Linked DNA regions of Mytilus edulis. The main gene of each other region encodes a partner of the protein of the gene in region 3 in a complex. Links are inferred from orthologs where the notes say so. Each region holds a gene or a part of one and is shown on either strand. Other genes may lie near its edges.

What was found.
Region 1: complex I assembly factor ACAD9, mitochondrial-like (region 3) and transmembrane protein 186-like share a complex: the UniProt entries of both Homo sapiens proteins name them as parts of the mitochondrial complex. The link is inferred for Mytilus edulis from reciprocal best matches to the Homo sapiens genes ACAD9 and TMEM186.
Region 2: the proteins of complex I assembly factor ACAD9, mitochondrial-like (region 3) and evolutionarily conserved signaling intermediate in Toll pathway, mitochondrial-like are in contact, whole or in part, in a cryo-EM structure (PDB 8PHE), measured with the Homo sapiens proteins. The link is inferred for Mytilus edulis from reciprocal best matches to the Homo sapiens genes ACAD9 and ECSIT. Residues at the interface, in NP_054768.2 of Homo sapiens: Leu180, Thr181, Asp188, Ala189, Ala190, Ser191, Ile192, Lys228, Lys239, Asp240, Lys241, Ile242, Phe293, Ala296, Met297, Leu300, Ile431, Met434, Tyr435, Leu438, Thr439, Leu441, Gln442, Gly445, Thr449, Leu516, Gly520, Lys521, Ile523, Met524; in NP_057665.2 of Homo sapiens: Pro321, Glu322, Glu323, Trp324, Asn325, Leu326, Tyr327, Tyr328, Pro329, Met330, Leu332, Asp333, Leu334.

Annotation. Positions count from the first base shown.
Region 1 is NC_092352.1:9,641,190-9,652,303, reverse strand, and holds transmembrane protein 186-like, read left to right. Parts: upstream 1-6,437; 5' UTR 6,438-6,516; coding exon 6,517-6,548; exon of another isoform or gene 6,549-6,608; intron 6,609-6,650; exon of another isoform or gene 6,651-6,741; intron 6,742-7,848; coding exon 7,849-8,539; 3' UTR 8,540-8,610; downstream 8,611-11,114. UniProt on the Homo sapiens protein: As part of the MCIA complex, required for efficient assembly of the mitochondrial complex I.
Region 2 is NC_092352.1:11,360,903-11,372,200, reverse strand, and holds the start of evolutionarily conserved signaling intermediate in Toll pathway, mitochondrial-like, read left to right. Parts: upstream 1-6,207; 5' UTR 6,208-6,287; intron 6,288-11,298.
Region 3 is NC_092344.1:87,963,100-87,975,129, reverse strand, and holds the start of complex I assembly factor ACAD9, mitochondrial-like, read left to right. Parts: upstream 1-7,095; 5' UTR 7,096-7,159; coding exon 7,160-7,399; intron 7,400-8,106; coding exon 8,107-8,194; intron 8,195-9,477; coding exon 9,478-9,579; intron 9,580-11,404; coding exon 11,405-11,511; intron 11,512-12,030. UniProt on the Homo sapiens protein: As part of the MCIA complex, primarily participates in the assembly of the mitochondrial complex I and therefore plays a role in oxidative phosphorylation.

The DNA.
Region 1 (11,114 bases), on a different chromosome or scaffold from region 3:
TACTACAAGGAAGACTTAAAAAACAGAACAGTTAATCTATATTTATATATACCTCTAAAACTGTAAGGATTCTCCAAATATATCTAGTGGCTAGTAAATTCAGACATTTTACTTTCACTTTCAGTGTAAAATAAGACTCTTGCTTTTATGAGCAAGAGTCATAATTGACACTCAAAAATAGTCCATCTCTATTGGAAGAATAAGAAGTCGAAGATTCTCTGAATATTACATAAAATACAATTATTTCAACCAATAATTATATATAAGAATTACTTACAAATTCATTAACAAAATCCGCTTTTTTACTAGTCAAGGGACATAATTATTCAAATATACTAATGCAAGTAACTAAGTCGGAGAAGGAGCGAAAATCCGAAACAGCACCTTAATTAAAAAAACAGAAAATAGTTCCACGTGCACGTGCGTGTCCAAGTGATCAATCTACTTGTTATTTACGAAGAAAAGAAATTTAACTTCAAAAATTGTTGAGATCTTTGAAAAAAAAACTGATTCCATTAAAGAATACAATGAAAGTAACCTTATCTTTAAAGGCCTTGCAGGTTCTTGTTACTCCTACCCAATCTGCTGGTATTTTCAAAATGGCTGCGGGGGACGCGGCCTGACAAATTATTTTAATATTGTGTCAGATTAAATATTCCTGATTTTGCTTCGTTAATATTATAGACAAATATGCTACAAACGGTTTAAAGATGTTACTCTAAATCAAATAATTGAAATATAATTACCTTTCTGTGTGTAATTGCGTGAATTGATTTTCTCTCGTTTATCTTCTCGCTCTTGCTCACTTGATGAATATGCATAGGTGGTATTCATCCGCGACAATAATATTTCGGTATATCATTGATATTGAAGATCGTTTGATTGATATACGAATATTTCTAACGACAAAACATTTTCATGTTATTAATTTGCATTTAAAAAAATCTGAGTATCCATTGAAAACATGAATATAAAAGAAGAGACAAGGAATTTTATTCTGCACTATAATGTTCGCGGGTTCATAATGTCGGTTATTATCCCAACACTAATTATATACGCATCTCTTTGATCTTTGAAGATCTTTGAAAAGTAGGCGATGGCAATACACCCGAGGCCCCTCAGGGGCCTCTGATGTAAAAATGGTCAAAGACATTTAGACACTATGTATATAAATTACTGTCAATTATTAAAACATTACAAAATCCATGTACCAGGTGTCATTCCAGTTAGTGTGAGAAACTGAAGACTATCTTTGGTAAATACGGTTAAATGTTTATTAAAGTTTTCAGTATTTCTCCTTTATCAGCATATAAGCAATTCTTCCAACATACCAAGTTATCTTCTTAATTACACCTTATGTAAGAATCCTGGGTTTTGACGGGTTGATAGCCATTGTATTTTTCACCAATTTACTGTAATGATCTTTAATCAAATGAATATCGTTCATTTTTTAACGCCGCCGGGGTATGACATTACGGCTCGTGAAATTTTACATTCTCTCGACTGGTTAATTAACATGATACATCTGTTCAATATTATAGCAATACTATTAACGTTAAATTAAGTTCAGTTTTTCATTCTAATTTTTAGATATTATTAGGACCATGTTTCGTGATGACTGGTAATAGTACATTTATTGAGTTAATTAAACAAAGTACATGACTATATGAGTGGATGTTGCCCTTGAGAACCCTGATGATATATGACCATTTATATCCATGACACTTACATGTTCCTAGATTTTTATAAAGGACATTGACTTAAATATTAAAAAAAGCAATTTATAAATCTAGTATCTCAACCTAAATAAATTAATATTTTAAGTAGGTGTGTAACCTTACCAAATATGTAAGGTTACAGATATGTACAGCAAGAATGAAATGTCTGTGAAAGTGGGCAATGTAATGACACCATCTTTCAGTTCACTAGTTGGGGTAAGACAAGGGGATGTTCGATCTGCCTCCAAAATTTGAGCCAAGTCCAGATGCTGTTGATATCAATGGGCGTAGAATTGATTGTCTTATGTACGCTGATGACATTATTGTATTATCAAACACAAAAAAAGGTCTTCAAAACCGACTTGATATATTGCATACTTATTGTATTGACTGGTGTCTAGATGTAAACTTGTCCAAAACAAAAGTTTTAATTTTTTTAAAACAAGCCTGGAAAATTTGTAAAGGAATCATTTTATTTAGATAAAGAGGCTATAGAATGTGTTAATAAATGTAAATATTAAGGGATATTCTTTACTTCTAGTGGTCTTTTTCAACAGGGGAAAGAAGAGCTATTCAAAAAATCCTTAAAGGCAAAATTTAAATCACAAAAATCCATGTCAGCTTGTAATCCAAGTATTGATACTGCAATTCATTTATATGATCACACAATAAAACCAATTTTATTATATTGTAGTATAATTTGGGGTTCATTTAAAATTAACTCTGCTGCTTGCAAGAAAAAAGTGATTATCTATTTGAATTAATCTACATAAATGATTATTTGGAAAAATCACATTTCAGATATTTAAAGTATATTCTTGGTGTAAATAAGAAAGCCTCAAATTTAGCAGTGTTATCAGAGGTTGCAAGATTTCCTCTTTATTTTTCTGTCATTATATCCATGGTAAAATATGTACACAGGCTTAACAAGTTGGACAAAGGGTTACTTTATGATGCTTATGTTTGTAATAAAATTTTAGATGCAGAAAACATTAATTGTTGGTATTCATCTATGAAATATGTACTTCAATCACTTGATATACAAAATTTAGATACAAAGCTCAATAAATTAATTAAATTTGTAAAATGTAAACTTTGTAATAGTTTTAAAACATTTTGGTTGGTCAAAAGATCTGAAACCTTATCACAAGGTAATAGTAAATTAGAGAATTATTTCAACCTCAAGACTGACTTTGTAAAGGAGGCTTTTTTATCAATTAAAGATTTTAGTATAAGAAGAGCTATATGTAAAATGAGAATAAGTGCTCATGATCTGAAAATTGAGAAAGATAGATATAGTAAAAAATACATAGAGATAACTCAACGTCTATTTCATCACTGCTTATCACATGGATCAAATTCTATTGAAGATGAGACCCATTTTACAGTAAATTGTCCATTATATGATGAACAGAGGAAATTATTATTTGATAAAGTTATCACTTTTTGTACTAATTTTAAAGAACTACCTAATGATAAGAAATATTTCTGGCTGTTCACAAATGAGCATTTACCAACTCTCATGTGCCTAGGAAATTACATTATTAAAGGTTTAGAAATAAGATCCAGATGTAAACAAAATATATGAAATAATTTAGTATTTTATTGTTATAAGATTTAATATAATAGTTATATAAAACACATGTTGTGTTAGGCTCTGATCCTGTCCATAACGTTACAGTATGTATTAGTTTTCTGTTTTGCTTTTTCCAATCATATTGTGTTGTAAAATGATGCTCTTTACGGGTTCTTGATTAGATTAATAAAATTCTTATCTTAAACAAAAACAAAAAAAAATTCTTATCTTATTGACCGCAAAATAAAAAAAATCTTTCAAATGATAAAAAAAAAAAAGATATTAAAGATGCATTCTGTCTTGGTGTAAAACATTGTAAAGTCTAGCCTAAAACCACATAAGAGCAGCCACCAGACAATATATGTTACACCAGACGCGCGCTTCGTCTATACACAAGAATCATCAGTGGCGCTATAATTGAAACAATTGGTTGGCCAAATCAACTATGAAGTTTAAAAGCAACAAAAAGCGAAAACCGTTCGAATAATTAGATATCTTATTAACAGTTAGTTTACAGAAAATGAACACATCAATGATATTCCACAAAGACACAAAAGTACTGACTACGGGGCTGGTTATCTCCAAAAGCATGCCATCGACCATAACTTGGACGGTTGTTTTTTTTCTGTTTTTGTTTTCGCCCGAGTTAACTCTTAAAGTCTTACTATATCATATTTTAGCATGGTTTTATATTTCAATAGTACATTTAGTAGGAAAACTGTAAACAGAAATTCCTGTTTAATTTGATATATTCGATGTGTTGCAACTTTTAAAAAGATATGTTTATTTCAATCGGAAAGTACTTGCGGTCACTGAACTCAAACTTAAACCCCTTTCAAGACATAATTAAAACTAAAACAAGACATTTGTTCCCCAGTCTAAAATATAAATCATCCCCATTTACAGACCTTAATTTGTTGTTCTTAATGTGACACTATAAATTATCAAAATGGTTCAGGTTCTATCTAAGCAACAAATAAAAAGCAGTATACATGTCTGTTCCTTCTGATCCTGTGAACTGTCGCATCACTGGCGGATGATGCAACATAACTATTTTTTTTCAATTTCGAATTTATCTTTTTAATTTGTCTTCATAAACGTCATCGTTCAGGTGGATCAATGTCATAGATTTATAAACAATTTGCGTATCGACTGTAAAAAGCATGTTTATTTGTTCACTGCAAATCTCTCAGTATGTATTGAGAGTCACGCCATGGTCATTGAGTAGCAGTAGCAATGACCGTTTACGGTGAGTTCTTGTTCCATAAATGTTGCCATGTTTCATTTAATAACAATGATCAACAATATCCGCGCGAATTTTTTTTTTTGTCATATGACAATCGAAAAATGTTAACCAAATTTAGAATAAGCAATCTTGTCTTTTAATAGAAACTGGCCGCGATATGCAAAAAAATAATAATACCAACAAACGAAAGAAAATGTAAAATAATATGTAATGTATTAAATGACGTATTCCATATTTTTATACTTGTAAACTGATTTAATAAAAATAAAAGAGAAATCTTTCTTAAATATTATACCGAAAAATATGTTAATTTTAACTTAACCAGAGACATATAATGCATTACAAAACTTAACTGATAAACTCGTGATTATGTAGGATTATATAGTGTCCCCCATAAAATTATGTCCCATGAACAAAATTTCACAGACATGATCTATGAAATTTGGTCCAGGACATAATTTTATTATAAAATATTGTCCACCTCTATGTAAAAGTGTCCCTTGGCAAGAGATTCTATTGTGACCTTCGTTGGACATTTTTTCATAGTAAAATCATGTCCATATTGCATAAAAGTCCTGTCTTATACCAAAAAATTTATTTAACAAAAAATAATAAGACTAAATTGACATTTGTATTTAAATAAGCAATAGGAATCTATGAATTGTTTTAACATCTTTGAATTATCCTTTTTAACAAAATCAAAAATGTCAGGAATAATATTCATAAATGCTTGATTGCAATTATGATTGAATATCAAGTTTTAATGTTTGCTCTTGTGTTTTTGTTTTTTGTCAACATTGATATAATACATTTCATTGTTTTTAATGTGAAACTGCTTTGCCTTCCTTTTAAATGATCTATCATTATTTTCAAATTCTGGAGGGTATTGACCATCACACACATAATTATACAGCTGTTTATATTTATCACTTTCCATTTTTGTTCACATCTGTGTTGTCTTTATTTAAATTTCAACTATTATTTTAAAACTAATTGATTAAAACATTTCAATGATTTCTAAATTATTTCCCTTCAATAGGGACAGAAAAAAATAGCTACACTATGAAATATTGTCCTTTGTGACATATTTTTATATAACATCCATGAAATTATGTGCAAGTACTAGGGACAATTTTTCACTAAGGGAGACACTATTTTATGGTTTACAAATGTGATATTTTGTCCCTTGAACAAAATTTCACGGCTGAACTGTGAAATAATGTTCTAGAGGACACAATTTCATGGGACACTTTTTTGGCTTACAATTATACTAAATCCATCAAAACCAAATGATATAAACACAGTTTTTTTTTAAAGCGTCATCATGAGAACTGAGCATGGAGACCAATAACTGGTTTTAACATGCATATTATATTTGTTGAGTTTTTCTTATGTTTGTTTTGTCTATGTATATGCTATAACTTATTTACTAAAATTGTTTTTTGTTTGTTTAGCAAATAATGTATATATATAATTATTAATAAATTTATCAATCGTTCATTTTGTGTGTAATCAGTATTGTTTGCTTTTATAAATTTTGATTTTGTTTCTATTGTGTATGTTTGATATGTTTGTATATCTATGAGGTGCCGTTTTACTATTTATTACTTAGTTTCTGATATCAAAAAATGATTTTCTGATTTAATATGTTTATTGTGTTAATACATGTTGGTCACACACTAAAATGTATACGACAATAAAATATTTGGTTTGATTTGCCGGTATTGTATTACCCAATTATTTAATTCCCATTGTTTTCTTTATACTTTTGCACCCAATTATTCTCTGTGACTACTTTATTCAATAATGTTTCCTTATTTTTTATTTTATGGCCAATATTCTCAATTCTGTAGGAACCAATCGAACGAATGTGAAGTAATATTATCTTGTATTGAATGAACGAAGGGAATTAACTCTTACCTGTTTCAAATAAATTTTCTTTTAAATCGTAGATTGTCTCCCATCAATTACCAAAGATGAACGTGTGGAGTTCTGGCACCTTTGCTAGGTATGATATATGTTATTTATCGTGAAAACTTTTCATTAAGTATCGAAAATCTAATAACATATCTAAACAAACTAGGCCTAATCACTAACACATTGTTCCTACCTCAATGAGCCGTGTGTAGAAATTCACAAAGATAAACCCTATTAGCCTATGCTACAGATATAAACACCGTGCTTGCATCGGAATATGACCGACAATTTCCCGTGTATTATATTTCCACAAATAAATTGTCCGTTTTCCAACCAAAAGAGTAACGTGTAAATAATATAACTTAACAACAAAACAATTATAATCATATTGAGATTGAGATGAGACCAAGTTTTTGTAGAAGGGGAAGGGTGGGGGTAGGGGAGGGGACAGAATTGAATAAAAATGAAAATAAATATTTGCAACACAAAATAGAGGAAACCTTTGTGTACAAAAGTTCACATAAAAAAATAACATGCATATCAACTGTTACAACATGAAAATTGTAACCGGAGGGGTTTTAACGTTGCGTATTTTCTGTGTCAACTTTAACATATTTTACCCCAGACCGTGTATTTACAATAGGAGGTCAATTAACATGTTAACAACACCTCGATTTTAGCAACAACAGTTAACAACATATTAAAAAATGCTGATATTAACAGTTAACACATAGGGTTGAAATTAAAACAGTCATCAGTTTAAATTTATCTCAGATAAAAGTTAACAACACCTTGAAAAAGGCCATGACAGGTTAACATAAAAAGGTATAAAAAGGTATTGCCCCTTTCATACCGGGTATATGTAACATTTTAAGAAGCAAGATCAGAGTTGCCTTTAATATATTGATTCTTATTCCTGCATATATACAAAACCCTACATTTATACAAAATGCAAGGAAGACCTATAATTTCCAAGAGAAAACGAAACAGAACTGAGAATGGAAACAGGGAATGTGTTAAAGAGAAAACCAACAGACCAAAGAGCAGAAGACAGATCAAGGCTATCTATTGGTCTTTAACACAGGCAAGAAAAACCTGCACCTGGAGTAGTGGTTCACCTGGCTCCTAAAAAATAAGGTGTAACAGATCAAGGCTATCTATTGGTCTTTAACACAGCCAAGAAAACCTGCACCTGGAGAAGTGCTTCAGCTGGCTCCTAAACAATAAGGTGTACTAGTTCAGCTAAAATGGACATCACACTAAAAAAACTTTGAATTATATAAATGAACCAAAAATTTAAAAAAGTTACCAAGTGGTTTATACATTATTTTACAGCTTATTTCGATCATTTAATTCAATATCATTTAAAACAATTATATTTTTTTTTACAGGAGTGCGGTCCTCACGAAACAATGGAGAAATGCTGTGATCAAAAGATGTATGAGTTCACCTTGTTTAAAAAGAAACAGTGGAAAAGTTTTGTTTACAAACAAATTAAACAGATTGACTTACTTCCCTAGTCGCTGTTATCCATCTTCAGAATACCCAGAGACATTTGATCCTTTCAAGAAAAAAAAGCCAGAGTTTGATCCAAATATTGCAAAGAGGAAATATAAAACCATTTATTTCTTTAAACCAATTAAAGTGGCAAAAATTTTGTCAATGTTAAAGATATACCAGACTGGATTTACATTTGCCTTGGTTCCATACTCATTATTTATGTTTCATTCTCAACTAGCTGATTTTAATGTTATTGCTGCATGTGTTGGACTTTCAATATCTGCCACAGTTTCTTTGTATTATATCAGTATGTATATACAAAACATCACAGGTATTATTGGTGTAAATGAGGATATGACAAAAGTAATGATTTCACATTTGAATTTCTGGGGCAAACGTGAGGATCAAATTTTCAAACGAGAGGAGATTGTTCCTTTCTCAGACAGTGGAGAAGATGTGAAAAGTGACATTTATAAATTAATAACATTTTTTTCAAATGATCAGAAGTTTTATCTTTTTGTGAATAGAGGCAAAGTTGTAGATAGAGAAAAGTTTGAAGAAATTTTTGGAAACTTGATATAAATAAATGTATCACTTTTATGTTCAATATTTTAGTGACAAATAATTCAGAATAAAAGATGACATAATTTTAAGTTTATATTTAGATATAGAGGTAGAAAGGTGAAGATGTATCAATGATCTGTGATTATATCATGTACATGATTTAAGGACTTGTTGATATCGGAAGAAAGATAAATGTCTTTTAAAATATTTAAGAGAATGTCTTATAAGCATGTATTTTTCAGCATTCTGATTAAAGATTATTATTCAATGATAAAAAAAAAGAGAAGGACTTAAACCTAATTTTATTCTTTTTATGAATTAAAAAAATCTTTAGAACAATTAGCTTTTATAAGTAATCTGACAAAAAAAATGAGTTATTAAATATGACTGATGATAAGGCCATGTAGGTCATTGCCATCATTTTGCGTCTGTTGTTTATTTCTGTCGTCTCCATACTTTTCAAAGAACTTTTTCTCTGAAACTACAGAACCACTTTTAACAAAACTTGGGATGAGTGATCTGTCGCGATCCTTAGGGTATGTATCTTGTATAAAATTTGTGTTTTATTCTGGTCAATAAACAAGCATGTACACCAGACTTAAAAAAGAACAAGAGTTAAAATGTATTCATGGTCTTTTATCTTGAAAACTGTCACAACTAAAAGGTAGAGAAAATATGAAAAATCAAAATTGTTCAGAATGCCAAGATCTTCCTCCTCACAATTTTCACCAAAATTATTTGTGTGGGAGTTATTTCCCTTAAATGACAGTTTTTAGTTAATTTTCATGTTTTAGCCTATTATTTTAAAACTTTATAAAAAAAAAAGAAAATGTGGTGTGAATGCCAATGTGACAACTCTCCACAAAGAGACCAAATAACACAGAAACTAATAACTATAGGTCATTGTACAGCCTTCAACAATGAGCAAATCCAATATTGCATAGTCAGCTATAAGAGGCCCCAAAATGAATATTTGTTGGACTTGGGTAAAAACTGATAAGGTCAAAAATTATAAGCAATACAAAAAGTGCCAAATAATAGAAACCATTGGATGACTTCTTAACATATTTTGGACTATTTTTTGTGTCCGTCATGACTTTTTCAAAGAACTTCTCTGCTGAACATGCTGGCTGAAAGAACTGAACTGAACCAATTCCAACAAAATTAGGGGGGGGGGGGGGGGATGATCCTTAGATATATAATTTGTGGTATCTGCCTGTCTGTCAACAAACATCTATTTTTAACAATCAATTAAACATAGAACATTAGGATAAAATCCATTTTCTTGAATCTTCAAACCATAAGAGAACAAGCAAATATAAAAGGACAAAATTTATCAGAGATCAACCTACATCATGTACTTACTGTTTCTACCAAAAATATCATCTGACAACTTAATTAGATGAGTAGAAACTATAACATGTAAAGGCAAAAGTGATCATCAAAACAAGATCTTCAAAAGTGTCAATATTATTTATATGATTAGATCACTCATCAGCAAGGAGTTATTGCCTTTAAATAACGATTGTTGACAGATTTAAGTGTTTTTGCCTAATATCTTTAAAATTATAATGGATAAATGGAAACTGTAAGCAACAAAAAAAGGTATTGTGATTATTTTTTTCACATATAACAGTAAAAATTTGGTTCAATTTGTAGTAATTATTTCTGCATTGGAACAAGTTTCAGTTATAAAAATATTGCATCCATTGAAACCTGAGACATCTGTGCAAAATTACACATATCTTTCAATTTGAAAATGTACAGCAAAAAAGAAGCAGCCAATCGAACATTACCATCAAGGAAAGGAAAGTTAACCAGAAGAGAAAAAAAGTAGAACAGTTTGTCATAAAATTTGTAATGATCATTGCCATGTGAAATGCCAACATCATGGTCTAAAAAGGACAGTGGTCACTCAGTATTGAATTAAGTAAGAGCATGGAAATGAAATGAAAATGCATTTCCATAGAAAGAGTGAGTTGAGGTGGACAACCTAAACATCAATGAAACATTTGCCACTGGACATAAAGTAAACAACCTGTCAATTAATCTAGCAATCACATTTAAAATATCTGGAATGACTACAGAGAAAATGTCTTCTAGATATCTTCATGTTTTATATATCTAGCAATGCGTGCATTATTAGTCTTTTGGGTAAAGATTGCATGGAAATGAAAGGCACTGACTTGATATCTAAATCTAAAAAGTTGATCATTCACTGACTTTGAGATAGAAAAAAATATAGTGCATTGATTATAACAATCTATACATCCAATCCAAGAACATTTCCAGATATTCAAGTCACAAACTGATGTTATACTCGTCAAGAAAATATTGCAAGGCACACGAATCTAATAGCTGTACATGTTCTTAAATATCAAGGATGTGAATTTTAACCAGATTTTCGAAGTAAAATTAATTTGTTGATTTGGGGATGTACGGCAGGCAGTGGCTGCCAAACAGTGTCCTTTCATTTCATTTCATAAAAACCCTAAGAAGATTTTTGTCATGCCCCCTCTATGAAAGTAGAGGGACATTATGTTTTCTGGTCTGTGTGTCTGTGTGTTTGTCCGTCCGTCTGTCCCGCTTCAGG
Region 2 (11,298 bases), on a different chromosome or scaffold from region 3:
TAAAGGTGAACCACTAATTTAAATGTTCAATGAATTACAAAATTTCTATAGACTTAAAGCAGACTTTGGCAAAACTACAAAGTCAAATATTGACAAAAATACAAGTTTTTACTTAATCAATCCACAAAAATTGTAACCCATGAAAACCACTAAATTCACAGGACATTAAATATATTTGCTTGGTCTCTGTTTTGTAAAAATTTTCCCTTCCATAAACCCTAGAACATTTGATCATTTGATATAAATATGGATGAAATGTTCTGTAAACATTGCATTGTTTGTATGTTTTGGAAATTATTGTATTTTGTGTGTGTAAGCATGATGATACTGAGAAGCTTGTACACCAAAATATTTGTAATAAATTGAAATGAAAACTTGCTGATGTTTCTTCTTTTAATTTTACTTTATATTTAATAGTTTAATCAAAGCTGTCTTATGATTTCCATGGATATGAAGAACACAAAAAAAATTAGGGTTTGTTGGTTGTCAGTGCTCTTGTAACATTTGGATTATTCAGTTGAAAATCCTCTCTCTGGTTAAACCACATATCCCTTCAGTTTGTTAGTTTCCAGAGTTGCCCATCTATTGACTCAAGAACCATCAGTCTCAGACTTCACACTATAACTTAAACCATAAGCTCAGTCAATTATATCAAACATCAACACAAATAAATTTATTGGTTGAGAAATTTTGTCTCCAGGTAGACCATAGGTGATAATATAAATAGATATAGGAAGACGTGGTAAGAGACAACTCTCCATCCAAGTAACAACTTTTAAAAGTAAACCATTATAGGTCAAGGTACGGACTTCAACACAGAGCCTTGGTTCACACCGAACAGCAAGCTATAAAGGGCCCTAAAAATTATAATGTAAAACTATTCAAACAGGAAAATCAACGGTCTAATCTATATAAAAACGAGAAATATGTATGAACTACATAAACAAACGAAAACTTCTGTACATCAGATAAAGTATGGATGACCCAGTCAAGAATCATTAAGATAAGCTTTATATTTTACAGTTATACATTTTCATGAGTACTATTTGTGAATTGAACTCAGGTACTTGGCTTGTTTCCTATCCTTGTCACTATATAACCTATGATTCATTGTGATATTGGTCAATAAATCACAATTTAAATTTAAGGTGAAAAAGGGGTCCATTTTCATCTTTAAGTGCCTTATTGAACCTTCTCCTTTCGTGAAACTTTGTAGATATCTCCATACTGACAGGAAATTATGATTTCAACTATTGTTTTTATCAGTTTTATCGGTTATGCCCACCTTTGAACTTAGAATTTTGGCAAATATACAACTGCAACAGTTTGTCATTCCAACTCCTCTCGAACCACATAACAGAATTGTATGAAACTTTATTGATAATTAGTACATACTATATGTAGGTGTGCATAATGACACATTTGAGATTCAATGCTTTTTCTAAAGAATTATGCCCCTTTGAATTAGAATTTTGACTATGATATACAAATTCAATAGTTTGTTAGCACATATCTCTAAAACAACATAACATAACAGAATCTTATGAAACTTTTTTTACTTAATAAGGTCATAAAATGTTAATTTTCATATTCACACAAAAAAAATAATAATACTGGTAGTTATAGTAGGAGTTTTGAATCCTTGAACTTTGAAAGGACAGTTATTGTTTTCTCAGTGACAATGTGGTGTTGGTTATATGAGTGTGTTCAAATTTAATTTGATAATAAAACATGTTCAGATGGGAGACATACAGATGGGTATAATCATATTTAATTTGAGGCCAAAGGTCAAGGTCAGAACTGCAAAAAATAAACTGAAATCAAAGCATTGTAAGCGCTATTGGCAGGTAACCAAAAACCAAGACAAATTATAGTTTAGTTAGAAATTGTTGCTTCTGTCTGATGTCTTCAGATGCACTTGTTTTAGCAAAATTTCTACAGTTGTGAGTAGAAAAGGGTTTGAAGAAATCAATTTTATGCAAGAAGTCAGGACTTAGTGTGAGGATAGCTGACATACTTTGCAGTTTGAAAGTAATCACTGTATTTTTAATAGTGTCAGCTTGTGAACACAACTCCTCTGAAATCATTCGACAGAGCTAGAACTCTCACTCTTTAAAGAATTGTCTGCCATGTGTAGTGGACAAAATTGTACCATTGTTGGAAAGATTGGAACTTGTTCTAAATCTTTCCTTAGGCACTGGCCTCTCTAACAACACAACTGGTTAGCTACTATTACTAAATGTATTCACACTGAAATATAGTTCCCTATAGTTCTCATGTATGTTCACATAATATACATATAAACTGTTAACAAATGGGTATATTTTTGGAGCAGTTCATACAAGAAGGTATGTCATTAAGGTGTCTTGATGAAAAGGCTTTATTTTTAAACATATTGAGTATTGATACAATACTAGATGATTGACAACTCATTATCATCAACCATTCAGGGACAAGGTGGACCTTTAATTACAATGCCCCACCTCCTAAACTGTCAATCAAATTGACCACATTACTTATCAACCTAAGTCTTACATAGTTATACCGACCCTATTACATCTATGCTTCAATATACATCCCAATAAACAAATATCAATAAATATTTGACCTCAAAATTGAATACACTAATGTATATACTAGATGTTTGATATATAAGGATGATAGATTTATTTATTGCCTTTTACTTTTGATCTACATTACATAAAGGTGAATCTGTAAAGTGTGTCTGAAAGATAAATGATTAATTAAGGATTAATAAGATCTTTAAGAAAAATGAAATATAAATATGAATATATAAAAGGTATTCAAGTAAGGCGTATGATTTACTTGATAAATTTACAATATTCATCTGCAATTAATCAATAATTTAGGTTAGTTCACTTATTTTTTTTATATCAGTAATTGGCTTGAAACAGTTTTAAAATTTTAAAACTTTTGATTATAACAAACCATTTTTTATTAGTTTATTCCCCATCAATCATTATGTTTATTTTAGTCATTTGAATTTTTATAAGAAAGTGAATACATCTTTTTGCAATCAAGAAAAAATCCGCTAGAATAAGTTTTTTTAATTTGTTTACGTTGAAAAAGTACATTTTCAATGCCCCGTTCTGAAAAATATGAATTGATCAAAAGGCACAACTTTTAATCTTCAATGTCATATAACCTATGTTTTAACTTACAAAATGCCCCAAAACAACATTTTTAGATTATTTTTGTTGACACTTTAAAGTTCTTAGCTTATGTCTTATAAGAGTAGTTGTAACATTTACTAGAAGAATTTTCAGCAATAGTGCTTTATTTATGTTCTTTCAGTCCCCTCCATACCTTAATATGAAATTATCCAAACTACTCTTCCAATCTTTCCATGAGTGATATCCATCACTTTGATTTTTATTTGACTATCGATCAACAATAATGCACCTGGACAATTCCTCTTTTCTGGCGTAGAAATCTTGTTAATCTTTACACAACTGTCATAATGTAATGAGTTCTCCAAAGTTTTGAAATACAAAAACCTCTTCTGGACCTTATTTATTCTGGATTCCTATGATTTAATAGTTAATATATTTAAGAAAAATAAAGACATACTCAAGAGATTTCAGTTTGAAATAACGATATTAGAATGTAGAACAGAAAGTCACAGGACAAAAAGTCAACACTAAAAAAGGTAAAAAATCCCATAACTCTGATATAATTATATAAATGGTTGGATCAAAATGACAGTATTATATGGTCAACTACAAATAACATGCATTACCAAGTATGATGGCTTCCTGTCAGATGCATCGTCCCAGAAGAGCTGCATTCTCACAATTCTCCATGAAATACTCAATGTCCCTCAACGCCTGTAAAATTGGTTTATTTACAATGACTCGGAAACAAATCCGACTAGATATGTACCTACAATGATTCTTTGCCTAATATTCACATTAAGAGAGGTCAAAGTAGTGGGGGAAATATAACAACTGGTTTAGAATAGTCGGGTAACAAAATATGAGAGATTTCTGTAAAATGGTCTTAGAGTAGTGGCCTTTAAAAGGTGTTGTAGTTACGAAACCGATAAGTTTCTGTATAACGGTCTCAGAGAAGTTGCCTTCACAAGGTGTTGTAGTTAGAAGGCGAGAGATTTCTGTGAAATGGTATTATAGGAGTTGCCTTCAAAAGGTGTTGTAGTTAGGAGACGAGGGGTTTCTGTAAAATGGCCGTTGAGGAGTTGTCTTCACTAGGTGTTGAAGTTAGGAGACAAGAGGTTTCTATAAAATGGTCTTAGAGGAGTTGCCATCACAAGGAGACCAGGGGAATTGTTAAATGGTCGTAGGGGCGGTGGTCTTCACTTATGTTGTAATTAAGAAACGAGAGAATTCTATAAAACGGTCTCAGAGGAGTTTCCTTCAAAAGGTGTTGTAGTTTTTCTGTAAAATTGTCGTAGATGAGTTGTATTCATTATAGGTGTTAAATTTAGGAGACGAGAGGTTTCTATACAACGGTCTTAGAGGAGTTGCCTTCAAAAGGTGTTGTAGTTAGGAGACGATGGCTTTCTGTAAAATTGTCGTAGAGGAGTTGCATTCACTAGGTGTTTAGTTAGGAGACGAGAGGTTTATATAAAACGGTCTAAGAGGGTGTTTCCTTCACAAGGTGGTGTACTTATGAAACGACTTTTTGATTTATTTTTGATTTGTTTTTGATTTATTTCTGATTTATTTTATTGGTGGAAGGGGGCGATTGAAGCATTTTTTTGCGATTTACTATTCATTGTTACCTGTTGCCACGCAGGCTTATTTCTTTTAAGATGCTAAGTGCGCTAAAATCTTTTTATTTTTTGTACCCAATTGTTTCCTGTATGTTATGTTATTGAATATTAATTTTTCTTCCTGTCTTAAGCGAGGTTATTTCTTTCCAGCTCTTACCAGGCCACAATGTTTATTTTAAGAACCCATCTGCCCCTCCCACTTAATCTACTAAAAAAACGGTAATAAAGACAAAAGCATACTATACAAGTAAGTAAGTAAGTAAAACTTTATTTGGATTCGGCATATTGACAAACAGTACAAACATAAGCTCTATTGAGCTTTTCACCCGGAATATAAAAACATATGCAATAACAAATAAAACAAGGCATGCAGCATACAAAATAAATAATAAAAAGCAGCACCAAAAATTAACTCTAAGCAATAGCATATACATGTATCTTGCGAAATACCAAAACATATATATGAAGCACTAAATCTTGAAAAATTTGCAGTTTAAAAATTATTTTTTAAATAATTTATGATATTTATGACTGATTTATAAAGTAAAAAATTTAAATCTTTCAAACAAAATGTAAAAACAAAATTTCAGTTACAATGCTAGCTGTTATTACTTAATGCAGCATAAAAAGGGTTAAGCATAAAAATAGCAACACAAATTATCTACAGGCAGAGCAAAAACATTCTGTTCCACTCCAGGACTGTCTGAACAAGACTTTAAAAATGTGAGAAGCTGTTAACAGTCCTGAAATGGTCTGGTATGCTATTCCATAAAGAAGCAGCAGCAAAACTAAAAGATTTTTTTCCATATGAAGTAGTTCTTACCAGTGGTATTTCCAAAATATTACTGTATCTAAAAGAATATTTAGTGTGTTTAATTTGGAGTAAATTTTGTGAGCCAAATTATTTAAAACTTTTATAAGTCTCAAGTGCCATTGTCCTGATGCGTTTTACTTGTAGGGTTGGAACCTTTGTGTCTCAAGAAGAGTTTCAGAGGATGATCAGTAGTCGTCATATACAAATCTCAATGCACTCTCTTGTATTTTTTCAAGTTTTTTTTAGAATTTTCTCTGCCGGTATAAAAATGTCAAGCCAAAGGGCAAAAATTAAAATTACTAAATATAAAAGTATACAAATAACAACACAGAGAACTAGTCTTGGTAACATGAAGCCAACCAAAATCTGAGGGTGATCTAGACTGACAGTATATAATTGAATTGATAAATGTCCATTTCTGACATTGTTTTTTTACGCTGAATTTTACAAATTTTCCAAATTTATCTGATTATACTCCATCTGGTAGGTCTTTGATGTGGATCTTGTATCATAAATCTACCCAGACCATTTTTGAAGAATCTTCCTTTAGTGCAACCCTAAAACACACGTACTGTCTGACTATGCCTATAATTACTGGGTCCTCTATTCAAATTTATCTTCTCTATATACCAATTTCCGGATTAACACGTTCCTCTCCGGACTTTGTGTCACATTTACAAAAACTGAGCCTTTTCCGGCTAGCAGTCGGTGAAATATTTTCAACAGTACCCATCAGCGTGTGTGAAATCAGAACCTATGTCAATTAAGAGCCGGAAGTGAAAGTAGAACCATATTTTACACCTGCGTTATAGCCTACAAATAGACATATATATCTACCCAAAAGATGATGTGAACTGTCACGATACCGGATTTATTATCAAATTTTAAGTAGCTGAAATCAACACCATTTGTATACAATTATCATTGGACATCATTAAACTGTTGAACTGATAATAATAAAATGTACGAATAAAATGGCAACATTTAAATATTTTTCTCTGTTAAAGGCACATAAATTTATGTTCTGTTCTCAGGTTCTGTTTGGCGTGAATAGGAGTCTGGATGGGGTTTACAGAAAAGGGAATAATGGTAAAAAAAAGTGCAGAATAAAGGGTAAAATGAATGAAAAATATAGAATATTGGCAAAAATGATAATAAAATTAATAAACAAGTGTATGGTGCACACTTACAAAGAATAAAGAATAATGGGCATGCAAAATAAATAATAAATATTAGAAAAAAATGAACTCAAAATCAAAGAATAAAGACATAAAAAAAGCCCCTCCCCTTCAATCCAGACCCTCATGAATTTGATTCCAGTTCTATCGTAATTAATTACAAACGCTTGTTGACCTCAATTTTGAAGATAAAATTGTAAGAAAAAGAAATTATTGAAAGCTTAGTGTTGATGAACGCTTCACTGTGCCAGTAAAGTAAAAAATATATGTGTATTTATTTTTTATCTGGGACTAATTAATACATTTATTTACTAGTTCCAGTTTCATACATATTAAAATATTCATAAGTTATTCAATATTAGAATGTAATATGTGTTTTTTCATAGATATCAGGTACAACGATCTACAATACTACATTTATGATGGGTATTTCTAAAATATCAAAATATGATTACAATTACACAAGCATTTTCTCCCATGTGAAAATTACTTTTATCGACCAGAATTTTTTTGGCATATGAGTAAAACAGAGGTTGGAATTTAAAGAGAAAGATAAGTTTGACGTAGTTTATTTATGTAGGCATGTAAATGATTAAAATCTTTAAATGAGAAAAAAATAATATGATTATCTACGTAATGTCTACATAACAAAAACGTCAAAACGAAAGCGACTTTTTATTAAATTCTGTTTAGTGGACGACTATTTTATTTTCGGGGGAGAGTTAGGGGAAGAAATCCGTTTAAAAAAATGCATATACCTACCAACAGTGGTAAATAAATAGCCAATTCCCAGGCGCGTAGCTCCCTATACGCCAACACGCAGTTGCGTGCACATCAACACAGCATGCAAAAAAAATGTCAAAATAAAAATTTAAAGGAAACACAAATATGTTGTTTATAATAAACAAATCATTTAAAAATTGTATGTTTTCGAATATCATAAATACAGTTGTGAAAATGAATAATCATGAGTCCCTTGCTTTAATGGAAATGAAAAATCTTGCTTCAATAGTGCAGAAAATGAATAATTTGTCCTCTTAGATTACAAAAATAAATAACCGATCAAAAACAAATCCTCCTGCCCCCCCCCCCCCCCCCAGAATGTCAAATGGGCGACCCCTAAGTCTACATATATAGGATTTTTTTTTCTGCGACAAGTGCCTCAAACCACGTATTAAGATTTTTGATAAAGGACCACAATAGGTAAAAGTCCAATTTAAAATTAAATGTTTTAAGTTCTTAGACTACATTCATTCTGTGTCAGAAACCTAGACAGACAACCTGAATGGTTCAATAATGGAAAAATTAGAGAGAAATACCATAAATTAGGAATGTGGTCCGAGTTCAAATTTTGGCGAAACAGGACAAAACACATAATCGATGAATCAAAAAGAAAATTTTGTTCAAAGATGGTAAAAGATTCAAAAGCTTCTAAAGATTTGTGGAAATGTATTCAAAGTCTTAACCCATCCCAACAAGAAAAGCCATATGAACTTTTAAATGAAGATGGTGTTAAAACTAATAATGTCAGTGACATTTGTAATGTTTTAATAAGTTTTTTACATCTTGTGTTGAAAACCTGAGGACTGACAGATGTATGAGCAAAACTCATGATTATGCAAAATTAAATCAATTTGTACAAAAGAAATTTAATAAGTCAGAACAAGTAAAATTTTCAATTGCACCAGTCACAATAAATGGTCTATTTAATGAGATGATCAAACTTGACATTAATAAATCCACCGGATTTGATAACATAGAACCAAAATTTTTAAAATTGAGTGCTCCTTTCATAACGTCATCTTTAACTTACATTTTTAACAGAATAATAGATACAAGTACATTACCCAGTGTTCTAAAGAATGCAAGAGTAACCCCAGTTTTTAAAGCTGGTGAAAAATTCATGGCAACAAATTATAGACCAATTTCTGTACTTCCTGTTTTATCAAAACTTTTAGAAAAGCATGTTTCAAAACATTTGTATGACTACCTAAAAAGATTAGATCTTTTACACCCAGCACAGTCTGGGTTTCGACAAGAACACTCTTGCCAAACTGCCCTTATCAATATCATAGATAAATGGATACAGGATATGAATGATGGTGATATCAACTTAGCAGTCCTGTTGGATTTTAAGAAAGCTTTTGATGTAGTAGATCATGATATGCTCTGTAAAAAACTTGAAATTTATGGATTTGATAATACTGCTGTTTCTTTTTTTAAATCATATTTGAATGAAAGAACTCAACAAGTACAAATTGGTAATGCTCATTCTGAAAAACTTTATATCAAGTATGGTGTCCCCCAAGGCTCCATATTAGGCCCCTTCTGTTTATATTATACATAAACGACCTTCCTATTTATATGCAAAATTGTTGCACTGATTTATATGCCGATGATTCAACTTTACATCTTTCTGGTAATTGTTATCAAACTCTACAGTCAAAGGTACAAGAAGATTTACATGGTGTAGAGGAATGGTGCAATGATAACAATATGTTCATCAATAAAAATAAAACAAAATATATGATTATTGGAAAGAAGCAAAGAGCAATGCCACATTACAATGAGAGTTGTTTAACTATTAACAATCAAGTTATACAATCTTCCACATGTGAAAGTCTTTTAGGCATTAAAATTGACCCTTCCCTCACATGGACAAACCAAATTGATGTGATCTGCTCAAAAATATCATCTAGACTATATCTACTATTAAAGATTAAAAAATTTCTAAATCTAGACCCATTCGCTCCTTCTGCACCCTTATTCAAACATTTAAACTGGATGACAGTTGAACAGAGAATAAAATATCATAAGTTAGTGATGACATTTAAGTGCATTAAAAATGATGCCCCATCATATCTTACTAACAAGTTTCATTATGTTTCAGACAGAAATCCATACCCCTTGAGAAATGCTGTTCAAGGAAACCTCATACTCCCTAAACCAAAAACAGAATTGTTCAAAAAAATCTTTTATGTATTCTGGACCATTCTTGTGGAATAATTTGCCAATACCGTTAAGAAATATTACAAATGTTAATTCTTTCAAATACAAAATAACAGATCATTTATTGAAATCAACCTACCTGTATCAAAAATATTAAAAACTGATCATGTTATCATGTTTATTTTTTTTTTCATCACATTTTATCAAGTTGTATTAAACATTATTATCATACTTGACTTTTTATACTATAAATGTATGCAATGTATATGCAGGCGCGTAGCAACCCGTACGCAAAAACGCAGTTGCGTACACATCAAACATTCAGCAAAAATAAAAATATGGTAAATACAGTTAGAATAAAACTAAAGTAATGAAGTTAATGAAAAAAAATATACAAATATGTTAATGATGTTTGTAGCTATATTCCGTTCCGAAAACTAGTCTTCCCTTTTCATTTACGAAACCAACATCGTAATTATGTTGCTGATGCAAACAATTTAAAATGACTGAGTCCTCCGGGTGTCAAAACACAATTGTTACGTCTTCTATGCCTCCTTACCCTGGCATCTTTTCTGAAGATTCCAAAATAACTGATGAAATAAAATATGACATTCTTAAGAGACCATGGACATCAATTCATTCTTATGAATTTCCTGTGAGGTATGTATAAGTTTAAAAACAGTCTAGTCCAACTTAAGTTTAACGGGGGTGGTAAAGGGTAAAGTTTTCGTGCAACTGTACTCATCGTTTTTTTTTTCATTTGACGTTCAACGTGTTTTCACTTTTTTTAATTTTTGTGAAAGACGGGTGCCTTTTTCGTTCAACAAGTTACATGTTCCCAAATTTAAATAAAAGTGCGTATTTTCCATGCTTTCAGTTTTAAAGTTTTTGTTTTCCGTAATCCTAATTTGAATAAAAAAAAATTACTGATCCACCATCCAAACCCCACCCTTTACTACCATTTTTAACCTTTACTTACTAGCAAATTTTTAGAATTTTATTTAATATTGTTGAAGAAATAAAATTGATTTGATTTTGTTATGCCCTACCCACGATAATAGATGGGCATTGTGCTTTCTTGTCTGTGCATCCGTCTGTCCGTCCGTCTCTCTGTTGATCCGTCCGTCGTATGCCGGTCTCGATGAGAAGAGTGGAGACCTACTTGAAAAATACAATGAAAACGAATCGTTTATATGGACTCGGTCTTTTGAACATATACCGAAAAAAAAATCAAAGCAGACACGGTTTTGGACATCTTTAGTAGAAAAAAAGAAAGGAAATGGGCATTGATTTTTCAGAATCAACTTTGAGAGAAATAAAAAAGCTGAAAAACACTGCTTGTTCACTCATAAAATAAAACATAAAGATATATGTGATTCGAATTTTTATTTATGTATTTTCTCAATAAAAAAAAAATACCATTTAAGTTGCACAGTGTTGGCTTAGAAATTAGTTTTTCTAATGTAAAGTGGGTTCAGCATGATTAGGTAACAAATAAAATATACCTTATCAAGCCATTTTAAAACACTACACATAAGGAAAAAAACAAATTGTTAAGCCAACAGTACGGGTTTCTTTATTTTTCTCTGATTATTTATTTCCAA
Region 3 (12,030 bases):
CTATCATTCACTAAAATATCGTCATTTGACCTTTATGGACCAGCAATAGGTTGTAATTTAGGTTGGATTATTCGGTCCGACATCTCTGCTTGATCAGTATTCTTTATTATCAGAGCTCCCTCTGCCGCTACATCAACCCCTACCACCACGACCACGTGTTCTAGTAGATCTTGGTGACATGACTGTATTTTTTCTGAGAACGTAGTAAGATCGCCATATGAACGTACGATATAATCGTGGAAAGAACGTGCTTTAATCGCAGTAGAAGCGTGGTGAGATTGTGTTGCAATCGGATAACTCGTGGTATGGTCGTAGTGAGAACGTGATGAGCTCAGAAAGATCTTGATAAGCGTAGTGAGAATGTGGCATAATCATAGCGGGATTGTTGTAGAAGCGTAATGAGGACGTAGTAGAATCATGAAAGCAACGAAAATTTACATTTTCATGCTGCTCATACCGTGACCTCACCACGATCTGAATTTATTCTTAGATCTAAGAAGAATATTCTAAATTTTCCTTCGCAAGACAAAATAAAATGTTAGCAAACACTAACCACTATAAAAAAAAGTTCAGTATATGTTTTCAATTACGTTTTTATAGCTCTTGTTCATATGCTTAAGTAATATCTAGAATACCTGAGGATTAAAACAACAAAGATATGCGATAAAACGGATGTCCAAAGTTACATTTTTTTAACTACTGTTTTAACTCTTACGTATAGTGATACTGTTTCTCATTTACATATCTTCCAGAAACTTTGTGTGAACAACGACATATGTTGGTTCTTTGTGACATTAAAGCTGTTATGTTGTCAAATTTATTTTTGACTCGGGGGCTGAATATTAAGCTAGAATAAGAAAAATGTCCGACGTTTTTCATTGACTCAACGACCAATAATTAATTTTATAAGAAGATATAGCATAGAGTGTCTGAAAAAAAGTAAGGTATTATAAACAACTATCAAAAGAACAAATATTTGCCTCATTGTTCATGAGTTAAAACTAGAGGCTCTAAAGAGCCTGTGTCGCTCACCTTGGTCTATGTGAATATTAAACAATGGACACAGATGGATTCATGACAAAATTGTGTTTTGGTGATGGTGATGTGTTTGTAGATCTTACTTTACTAAACTTTTCTTGCTGCTTACAATTATCTCTATCTATAACAGTACTTTCTGTGGAAAATGTTATTGAAAATCTTCAAATTTTAAGAAAATTGTTAAAAATTGACTATGAAGGGCAATAACTCCTTAGGGGGTCAATTGACTATTTTGGTCATACTGACTTACTCTTAGTTCTTACTTTGCTGTACATTATTGTTGTTTACAGTTTATCTCTATCTATAATAATATTCAAGATAATAACAAAAAAAACAGTAAAATTTCCTCAAAATTACCAATTCAGGGGCAGCAACCTAACAACCAATTATCCAATTCATCTGAAAATTCCAGGGCAGATAGATCGTGACCTGATCAACAATTTTACTTCCTGTCAGATTTGCTCTTAATGCTTTGGTTTTTGAGTTATAAGCCAAAAACTGCATTTTACCCTCATGTTCTATTTTTAGCCATGGCGGCCATCTTGGTTTGTTGGCCGAGTTACCGGACACATTTTTTTAAACTAGATACCCCAATGATGATTATGGCTAAGTTTGGTTAAATTTGGCCAAGTAGTTTCAGAGGAGAAGATTTTTCTAAAAGATTACTAAGATTTACGAAAAATGGTTAAAAATTGACTATAAAGGGCAATAACTCCTAAAGTGGTCAACTGACCATTTTGGTCATGTTGACTTATTTGTAGATCTTACTTTGCTGAACATTATTGCTGTTTACAGTTTATCTCTATCTATAATAATATTCAAGGTAATAACCAAAAACAGCAAAATTTCCTTAAAATTACCATTTCAGGGGCAGCAACCCAACAACGGAATGTCCGATTCATCTGAAAATTTCAGGGCAGATAGATCTTGACCTGATGAACAATTTTACCCCGACAGATTTGCTCTAAATGCTTTGGTTTTTGAGTTATAAGCCAAAAACTGCATTTTACCCCTATGTTCTATTTTTAGCCATGGCGGCCATCTTGGTTGGTTGGCCGGGTCACCGGACACATTTTTTAAACTACATACCCCAATGATGATTATGGCCAAGTTTGGTTAAATTTGGCCCAGTAGTTTCAGAGAAGATTTTTCTAAAAGATTACTAAGATTTACGAAAAATGGTTAAAAATTGACTATAAAGGGCAATAACTCCTAAAGTATATCTCTATCTATAATAATATTCAAGATAATAACCAAAAACAGCAAAATTTCCTTAAAATTACCATTTCAGGGGCAGCAACCCAACAACGGAATGTCAGATTCATCTGAAAATTTCAGGGCAGATAGATCTTGACCTGATGAACAATTTTACCCCCATGTCAGATTTGCTCTAAATGCTTTGGTTTTTGAGATATAAGCCAAAAACTGCATTTTACCCCTATGTTCTATTTTTAGCCATGGCGGCCATCTTGGTTGATTGGCCGGGTCACCGGACACATTTTTTAAACTAGATACCCCAATGAGGATTATGGCCAAGTTTGGTTAAATTTGGCCCAGTAGTTTCAGAGGAGAAGATTTTTGTAAAAGTTAACGCAGGACGACGACGGACGACGACGCCGGACGCCGGACGCCAAGTGATGAGAAAAGCTCACTTGGCCTTTCGGCCAGGTGAGCTAAAAAAGTAGATTCTATAAAGGCTTCTCTTTAGAGTTGTTTTTCAAGCGGTAGTCATTTTGTCCAAGTTAATATTTCATTTGTCAAAGCAATTAATGTTGGTTTTTATACGACCGCAAAAATTTTAATTTTTTGGTCGTATATTGCTATCACGTTGGCGTCGTCGTCCTGCGTCGTCAAAAATTTGATCAAAATCCAAATTCAGAGCTGTATCACGCATAAATGTTTTGTCCATACCTGCCCCAACTGTTCAGGGATCGACCTCTGCGGTCGTATAAAGCTGCGCCCTGCGGAGCACCTGGTTTACTTTATATTTCAATAAGTAATTTATAATTATCAAAACAAAAGTTAGATACACAGAAAGTACAAAATGCCTAGATTCTTTTCTTTATTAACTACATGTGTGGGTCTTAAAGGAATAAAATGCTACGAAACATTGCAAAACGGTAGTCATTTTTTCCAAACGTATCAAAACGTCAAATAATCTGAAAAAACGCTTATTACCACCGTTACATGTGCTTAATTAGTTTCAATGAAATGCTCCTGATAATTAAACAAATCGGGTGGTGAAATTTGGAGCAAGATATTGAAGGCTGTCGAAAAAAAAAATGGTGCATGTTGACTGACTCGGAACATAGAATCCACACAGATTAAATTTGGCTATTTTATAAATCTTTTTAGCTTTTAGCGATTTATTGCTGATAGAGGCGACAAATTTCACAGTTTAGTTGGCGACTTGTCCTGCTACTCATGTTATAGCTGTCATAATGGAACTAATTCCTGTACTAGCGAAGTTGGGCCTTTCCGTCAATATAAACTTGTACATGAAACGGAGGTTACTGAATGACTAATCGAAAACAGCAACCAAAACTATTTCATTGAATTACAGCCGATTTCAATGTTTTAATAATCTAAGAAGTACATTGTAGTCATTTAGTCTTGATGTTTGGCTTATGATATACCTAAATATCAAGTCTTAAAATAGTATTTCATGGTTGTCATGTAGTCTTGATATTTGGCTTATTATACTTCTTAGATTATTAAAACACCCTTTACCCAATGCTAAACCTCCAATATGGTTATATCATAAGGTCACATGATTACCTCATAAAAATTCAAAAATAAAATATATTTAAACAAGAATGTGTCCCCAGTACACGGATGCCCCATCCTCACTATCATTTTCTATGTTACGTGGACCGTGAAAATGGGGGGAAATCTCTGATTTGGCATTAAAATTAGAAAGATCATATCATAGGGAACATGTGTACTAAGTTTCAAGTTGATTGGACTTCAACTTCATCAAAAACTACCGCGACCAAAAACTTTTACCTGAAGCGGGACTAACGGACGGACAAACAGACGGACGGACGCACTGACCAGAAAACATAATGCCCATAAATGGGACATAAAAATGTCTTTAAGTTCTTAATCTATTGCCCTACTGTATATTGGCATCCAAATTTCTTTAAAATTTTATTGTTTAAGAGAATTTTTAAACTCTTTTTTAAATATTGTTTTTTTGTAAAGTTTAACGGTACTTCAAACTTGTTAACAAAAGAAAAGTCTAAATCTACATGATCTTAGAATTTAATATATGTTTGATGTTTCCTATCCAAGATTCCTGGTTAGGTTTGTTCACAGAATGGGATAAATTTATGGCCTCCCATATAGGATAATATTTGAAGGTTCAATTCTTTCATACGATGATTCCAATATTTTATCATACTGATAATTACATAATAAAGTGTAGGGAGTTAAGGTAGCACAATATAAAGATTTTTTCACTCCCAATCAGACAACTTTAAACTGATGTAATTCATTTCATCCTTCTTTATATTTTATAAATGAGGTACCAAAAGAAAGAAGAAAGATTAATCTTTCAAATTGTGATAATTTCATTATGACATAATCATTACATAATTAATTATTATGTAATTAGTCGCTATATTGTGATGTCCACACTTGAATGAATTTAGCGTCTTTGTTTTTCATAGCATCCCAAAATATTTTATAGATTCTTGTACAACACAGCTTGACCTCCAAAACTGTGTCTCAGATTTCCAAAAACATCAATAGAACAAATTTTATACCCAATTGAACTTAGTGGTCTCTAATGAATTGATGTTGCAAACTTCATTGAAGATTTATGAGAGAATGAAATACAATAGGAAAAATCTGAGACACAGTTTTGGAGGTCAAACTGTGTTGTGCAAGAATCTATAAAAAAAATTTAGGATGCTATGAAGAACAAAGAAGCTAAATTCATTCAAGTATGGACATCACAGAATGGCAACTAATTACATAACAATTAATTATGTAATAATTATGTCATAATGAAATTATCACAATTTGAAAGATTAATCTTTCTTCTTTTTTTTGGTACCTTATTTATAAAATTTAAAGAAAGATGAGTGGAATTACATCAGTTTAAAGATGTCTGATTGGGGATGAAAAATCTTTGTATTGTGCTACCTTAATCTAGTTCAACTCTACATGCCATATTTGATGTTTTTAAATTACTTCCAAGAAAACTTACAAAACTTAGTATGAATTTTCTCTAGAACAAGATAATCAGTTTCTTTTGATATGAAGTTATCCATATATTTTTGTTTCTTATGTGGTATATAACCCCAAATTTCATATCCATACAACAAGATAGGTCTGATTATAATGGTTATAAATATGTAATGAAGTAATAGATTTTGGGCTTTCCACTGAAAAGGTCTTCCTTAATTTGCAATAAGCTGTCATTCTTTTATTATTATGTTCTATTCTTTGCCTTTTGAAAGTTCCCAGATGCTAAAAAAAAATATTCTCAAGTATATGTACTAATACTAGTTCTGTACACATTCTAAAATATGGTTTCCTAAGGATATTTTAATAATTTTATGTCGTCCTGATTTGTTAAATACTTTTGGTCTTTTAGGTAAATGTTTGGTGATAACTGTTATTTTACGTTCAACTACTACATGTACTAAATTAATTTACAAACACAATTTTTTTTCAATGATCCAAACCAAAATCTGTGGCATAGCCCATTTACTGTAACTTAGCATAAAGCTAAGTAAACTTAGTATAATATACTTAAGAAATGCAAAATTAGGGGTCAAACAAGATAACTGATAGTCTCACAAGACTGTTAGATTTGAAATGTAATTCCAAATTGTTGGGTTACTTCATTTATTATTACTGAATTTATTTATTTTATTTATAATACTTGTAGATACTATTTTTGGGTATTTGCGCATATGTAACGTTTTGCTCATGAACATTATAATATTTCCCGTTTTTAAGTTTTATGACGTTTCGCTTTTGACGTACGTTACGTTGTCTAGTTTTTTATTCATTGCAAGTTATTTGATATTCGGAGACACATCATTATTTTATAGAGAGATCATAATCAGTAAGAGATAATTTATGTACATTTTTAAGAACAATATTTATTTGAAGAAGAAATATTAAGAATTGTAAAAGTATTTATAAATTAATATTTATTCTAATTAACTTTTTAATTCAACAAGTTACTTATGAAGCGTGAAAGAAAGTGAATCATATTGTTTGATTAGTATTATGCCTTTAGTGTTTTAAGTTATATTTTAACTTACGTGTATTTGTATTTTATTGTAGAGAATCGGTTGTTATGATATAGTATATGAAGCCAAAATTATATGTACACAATGTAGTTTTGAAGAATAAAGATACTTATATAGACCGCATACTCGACTTATCGCCTTATTTGATGTCTTTGATGTGATCCGTTACAAAGACAATATTGAGTCTTGATCATGTTAATGAAGTTATGAACTGCTTGTTATAAGGGAGTCCTTGTAGATAAAAGGCTGTGATCCAGCATTATCATTGAGAAAATGTGTTGCTCCAGATTTTTTTAGTTTATTTTTATTTTTTGTAAATGTGAGCTTGTATATTTAATACATTGTATATGAACAAAATTATGTATAATTTGGGATTTTAAATAGAAATAATTTATATATTGCCTTTTATGCCTATTGGGTTGTAGTTTTATAATTATAAGATCACTGAAAACAGCATTCCGAAATAAAGGAAGATCTATATCATACAGACATTATCTAAAATGAAAGGTTTATATTACATACATTGAAGTAACACCTTATCTGTCCTACAGATTTTGAACAAGGAAGTAAAATATCTTTCACAAAGCTTGAGTAAAAGATAGAAGCTCTATCAGATTGTCTATTAAAATTCTATTTATGAATATGATACTACAAAAAAAAATTCTAAATTTTAGATCAATAAATTATGTGATTAATACTAAAAATAAGTATCGTAATCAAGGATAAAAGTTAATATCCTGGTATAAATATAGTTTATTTCTATCCGTTATTCAAACCCTTTCGTCTGGTTCCCGGGTTGGTTTGAATACACAGAGGAACCAGTATAAAAATAGAAATTGAAACTAAGAAATATGTGGTCGAGAACAAGTTATACTCTACGGTATTTTTCAAAGGATAAACTGTTTTCTTCTAACAAGCACATTGTAAGGTTACAACGTAGAAAAGCTAGTAGCGGTTCTATTCAGAAAGCAGATCTAGACGATAAAGAAATAACTCAAACTAGTCAAAGTGGAGAGTATATCCAGAAAGCATTAAAACCTAAAACGAATGATCCATTTGTTAAAAATTTATTTCTTGGAAATTTTGATAAGGTAATTATGAAAAAAAGTATTAGCCGATGCAACAACTTTACATGATCTTCCAAATACTGCTATTTCCAATCAAATAGAAGAGAAAATGTTATTATAAAATATAAGTGGAGGTTACATAAGCACTATACAGCTTTTTGCCCACAATAATAATAATACATCTACATACAATGAACCTAATCGCTATTGTCGGCCATTACTCTGAGCTGTTACTGGATATCACACAGGTTTCCGTGAAATTTTGACATCAGAAATAGAATTTATCTGACGCCTCAATGGTAAAGTGATTGTTGTATGACGTCAGTAGTTCAAGCGAGACAGATTCTTGGGTCAGCCTGGAATAGCAATAATGTGTAATGTGTATGTAAAGACATAAAATCCTAAACATTTTAATATGAAAATATGATGATTTCAGATGTTCACTAGACCTGTGGGGTAATCACAATTCTGATGAGATTTTTACCATGGACTAGCGATTTTGTTGATTTTAATTTATTGCGTGTTATTGCCTAAAAGAAATGTGCTACAAAATAACTGTGTTCAATCAGCAACTATTGGGAAGGTTGTCAACATGGTCAACATTAACAGATAAAGTGTAAATATTTTGTACAGAAATTCAAACACCATTTCCTGTAAAATTATAAATTTTAAGTGACACAGACAAAAACAAAGTATTCGTATGTACAATGTAGATGCTTTGACATTTTCAGGATGCTCTGATATACCCTGAACTTACGAAAGAACAGTTAGATGATATAAACCAATTGGTGCAGCCTATAGAAAGATTTTTTGATGAAGGTAGTTATTCATTCTGTACAAGTTTAATATCCTTGGTCCATAATTATACAACCGCAAAAATACAAAAAAAACTGAGATTTAGTTTGAGGTTAGTTTTCCCGAATATGTAGGAATAAGGGGCCAAAAAAGGGACAAAAAGAAGCATTTTTCTAGTTTACAGACAATAACTTGTGTTTAAGTGTATGGATCTCTTTAAATTTTTACAAGAAAATTAAATACCACTAAAGGAAGGTTGTGATTGATCTTGGGGGTTATGGTCCCAATAGTTTAGGAATTAGGGGCCAAAAAGAGGGCCCAAAATAATATTTTTTGTAGTTTTCAAACAATAACTTATGTTTAAGTGTATGAATCTCTCTGAAATTAAACCACAAGTTACCATACCATGAAGAGATGGTTAGTATTGACTTTGAGGGGTTATGGCTCAAAATGTTTCGGATTTAGGGGCAAAAAAAGGGGAAAAAATAGGTATTTCTGTTCAATGGACAATTAAGACAATTTAAAAGCAGTGTAAGGGAGGTAATTCTAAAACATTTAACATACAATATTGGGTACATGTATGTTCTGGTTTACCTCCCTTACACTACTTGTATATTATGTATTAAGAAATGTCAGGTCTTGGACTAATTGCAAAAAAAGGGGGCTGGTAGTTGTTTTTAATTTTTTTTTCAAATTTCTAAAATTCCAAATTTTTGAAAAGTTAAAAGAAGAAATCTTTAATTGCACAATATTGCGCAATAGATTTGTAAGATCTTGACATTTGTTTTGTGTCAGAAACTCATATTATGTCAAAAATTTGATCGCAATCCAAATTCAGAGCTGTATCAAGCTTGAATGTTGTGTCCATACTTGCCCCAACTGTTCAGGGATCGACTTCTGCATTCGTATAAAGCTGTGCCCTGATGAGCACCTGGTTCTATCTTATTTTAGTCTTTGAGGTTCATAAGATAGATAATAATAATAAATTGTAGTCATGATATTTAAAAAAATTAAATGTCTCTATCTAATAAAAAAGAAAGAAAGTTAGTTTATTTTTCCTGTCAACATACTGCTCTTTCTATGCATGTTTTGACCTCCCAAAACTTAAAAATTTAACAATGTTAAGGGGGTTGTAAAAATAGTACTTGTGGAAGTAAATTTTGGGAAAAGATCAAACTTTGAAAATTAAATCCAAGTCTTCCAAAATTTTCTATACAAGTAAATATTACTAACACTTTCAAGCAAATGAAGATGACTTGTATAATTTCCCTGGCTGACTGATAGAAAAGTTTTCAACTTTGTTGTAGTTGATTCAAAGACAATAGATGAAAAAGCTAAAATTCCTGATGATGTTTTACAGCAGTTAAAAGATTTAGGGTTATTTGGTCAACAAATTCCTGAAGAATATGGTAAGTAACCTTTATTTAGATATAAGAACATGTGTTATGAGTGCCAATGAGACAACGATTTGTAAAAGTATTAATATGAACCATCATAGGTTAAATTACAGTCTTCAACACAAAGCGTATGCTACATGTATTATTAATAACATGTACATTTTCTCTATTGATCTCTATTGGTACGCAAATGTAAAATTGTGCTTTGAATTTAGTGCTGATTCAGAAATAAAATATTTGTTATGATACATGTAGTATGATATTTGTCTTTATTTATTCATTAAAATATGAAATATCCATATCCAATTTTTCATCTCTAATAAGACTTTATTTACAAAATATAACACATAAGTAAAAAAAAAAATACAATTTCAGAAAAAGAAGAGCAACTATAAAAAAGAATTATTTAAAAAATGGGACACCAAAAATAGAAAAAAATATTTGATGGTAGAATTGACATCAAAATAACAAATATCAACTAATTGCAATACAAACAAAACAATTAATTAAATTGCTTACACATGCCGGTGCAGTACGTTTGCACGCATTACCATTACATTTGCGGGCATTGCCAATACATTCGCGCACAAAAATCATTTTTGCACGCAGCTTTTGATTACATTTGCACACATTTTTTTGACAGGTAAACTACAGGTCATAATACTTGTTTATTTATTAATTTGTTCAATTATTTACAAGTATCAGTTACCCTTCCGTTAGTCTGAGTCTCCTAAAGCACCTATTTTGAAAAAAATCAATCAGTAAATTTTTAGAGAAAATACAGGTACAAAATGTAATAATACTCATATATTTATTAATTTGTTCAATTATTTACAAGTATCAGTACCCCTTCCATTAGTATAAGTCTCATAAAGTAGGGAAGAAAAGAGATAAAGCCGCATATTTTTTGCGATACAATTCAACAAGTCAAAGGTGTATGCAAAATTTTAAGAAAATCTGTGACATAGCCCATTTATTGTAACTTGACCTTAAGCTATAACGGAGTTTATACTTGGTTTTAGAAATCAATATGAGCAATATATAATTTGAATTAACAAACTTTTTTCAAAATTAATAATTGATAGACATATCTGTTATGAAAATACAAAAAAAATATAGTCATTTATGATTTAGTATAATTTTTATTGATATCTTTTCCTGAGATTACCTGTAAAATTAATGCACGCAAATGTAATCAAAAGCTGCGCAAACGTAAAACATTTTAATCCCCAAATGCGCGCAAACGTAGTGCGCCCACACATGCTCCCATTTCGCCTTAGTTAATTATTGTGTACCTGAAAATTTGTGCAAGGCAAACTGGGATTAATTTTATATAACTATTTTGACAGCTAAGGCGAAATGAGAATAAGCCATTAGAATAGTTGACCTGTAGTTACCTGTCAATGTCAGACCATAGTCATGCTTTGTTGATTTTTATTACTTTTACCTGCAATCAACAAGACATAAAATCCTCCCAGATGGGAGTTATAACTGGGATTTTTTTGGGAGAGAAATCTGAATTTCACAGTGTGACACTGTGTTACACCAAAATCAGTGTTGGGAGTATGATAATATGTCCTCTCTGTGTATACTGTATAGTCAAGTGAATTGGATTAAAATTTATCTTATTATGCTTTGCTATATTGGTTTTTAAGACGTGATAAAAGTTTCAAAGGATGTTGAAAACAAAAGGATCAGTTACTTCACTTGCAAGAAAAATTGTTAAACACATGAAAGGTTTTCTAGTATAAAGACTAAGAGCTATGTGGGTAATATTGAACAACTCAATGTTTGTACATATATTTTGCAGAAAACATATAGTTTTGAAACATTTTAGGTGGCCTAGGACTAAATGCTACAGAATTTGCCAGACTAGCAGAAATAACAGCACTTGATGGTTCTATATCAGTCACATTAGCAGCTCACCAGTCGATTGGCCTGAAAGTAAGACAATATTATAGAAGAAAGTTATATTCACAGTCCAGAAGTGGTCATGATGATAGGGGTATAGTATTGAGCTATTGCTTCATTTCTTCATTTCCATCATTTGGTATGCAACCCTATTTTGTAAGAGGCAGATAGATTTAAAATAATTTGATATTGAAATGTATTGTTTCAAGCTTCAAAATATAAAGGTTTTTGATAAGTTTTTTAGATTGACTTTTTTGATGTTTTTTTTTATTAATGGTAATTGGAAACACAGTACATGTACCATTACTTTTTCCTTATGTTTTTTTATCTAAAGCATCCTTTTTATGCATAATAAAATTAAGAAGTATTTTCAAAATTTAAGAACAAGCAAAGGTACATACGGAGACTGTGAGACTGGAAGGAAGTGCTTATCGTTTATAACAGCTAACCAGTCTACTTATACAGACATTCATTGTATGAATTAGTCAAAAGTCATTGTTATTTTCAAGTCCATAGGTGAATTTACATTTATGACATATCTAGTGACCAGCA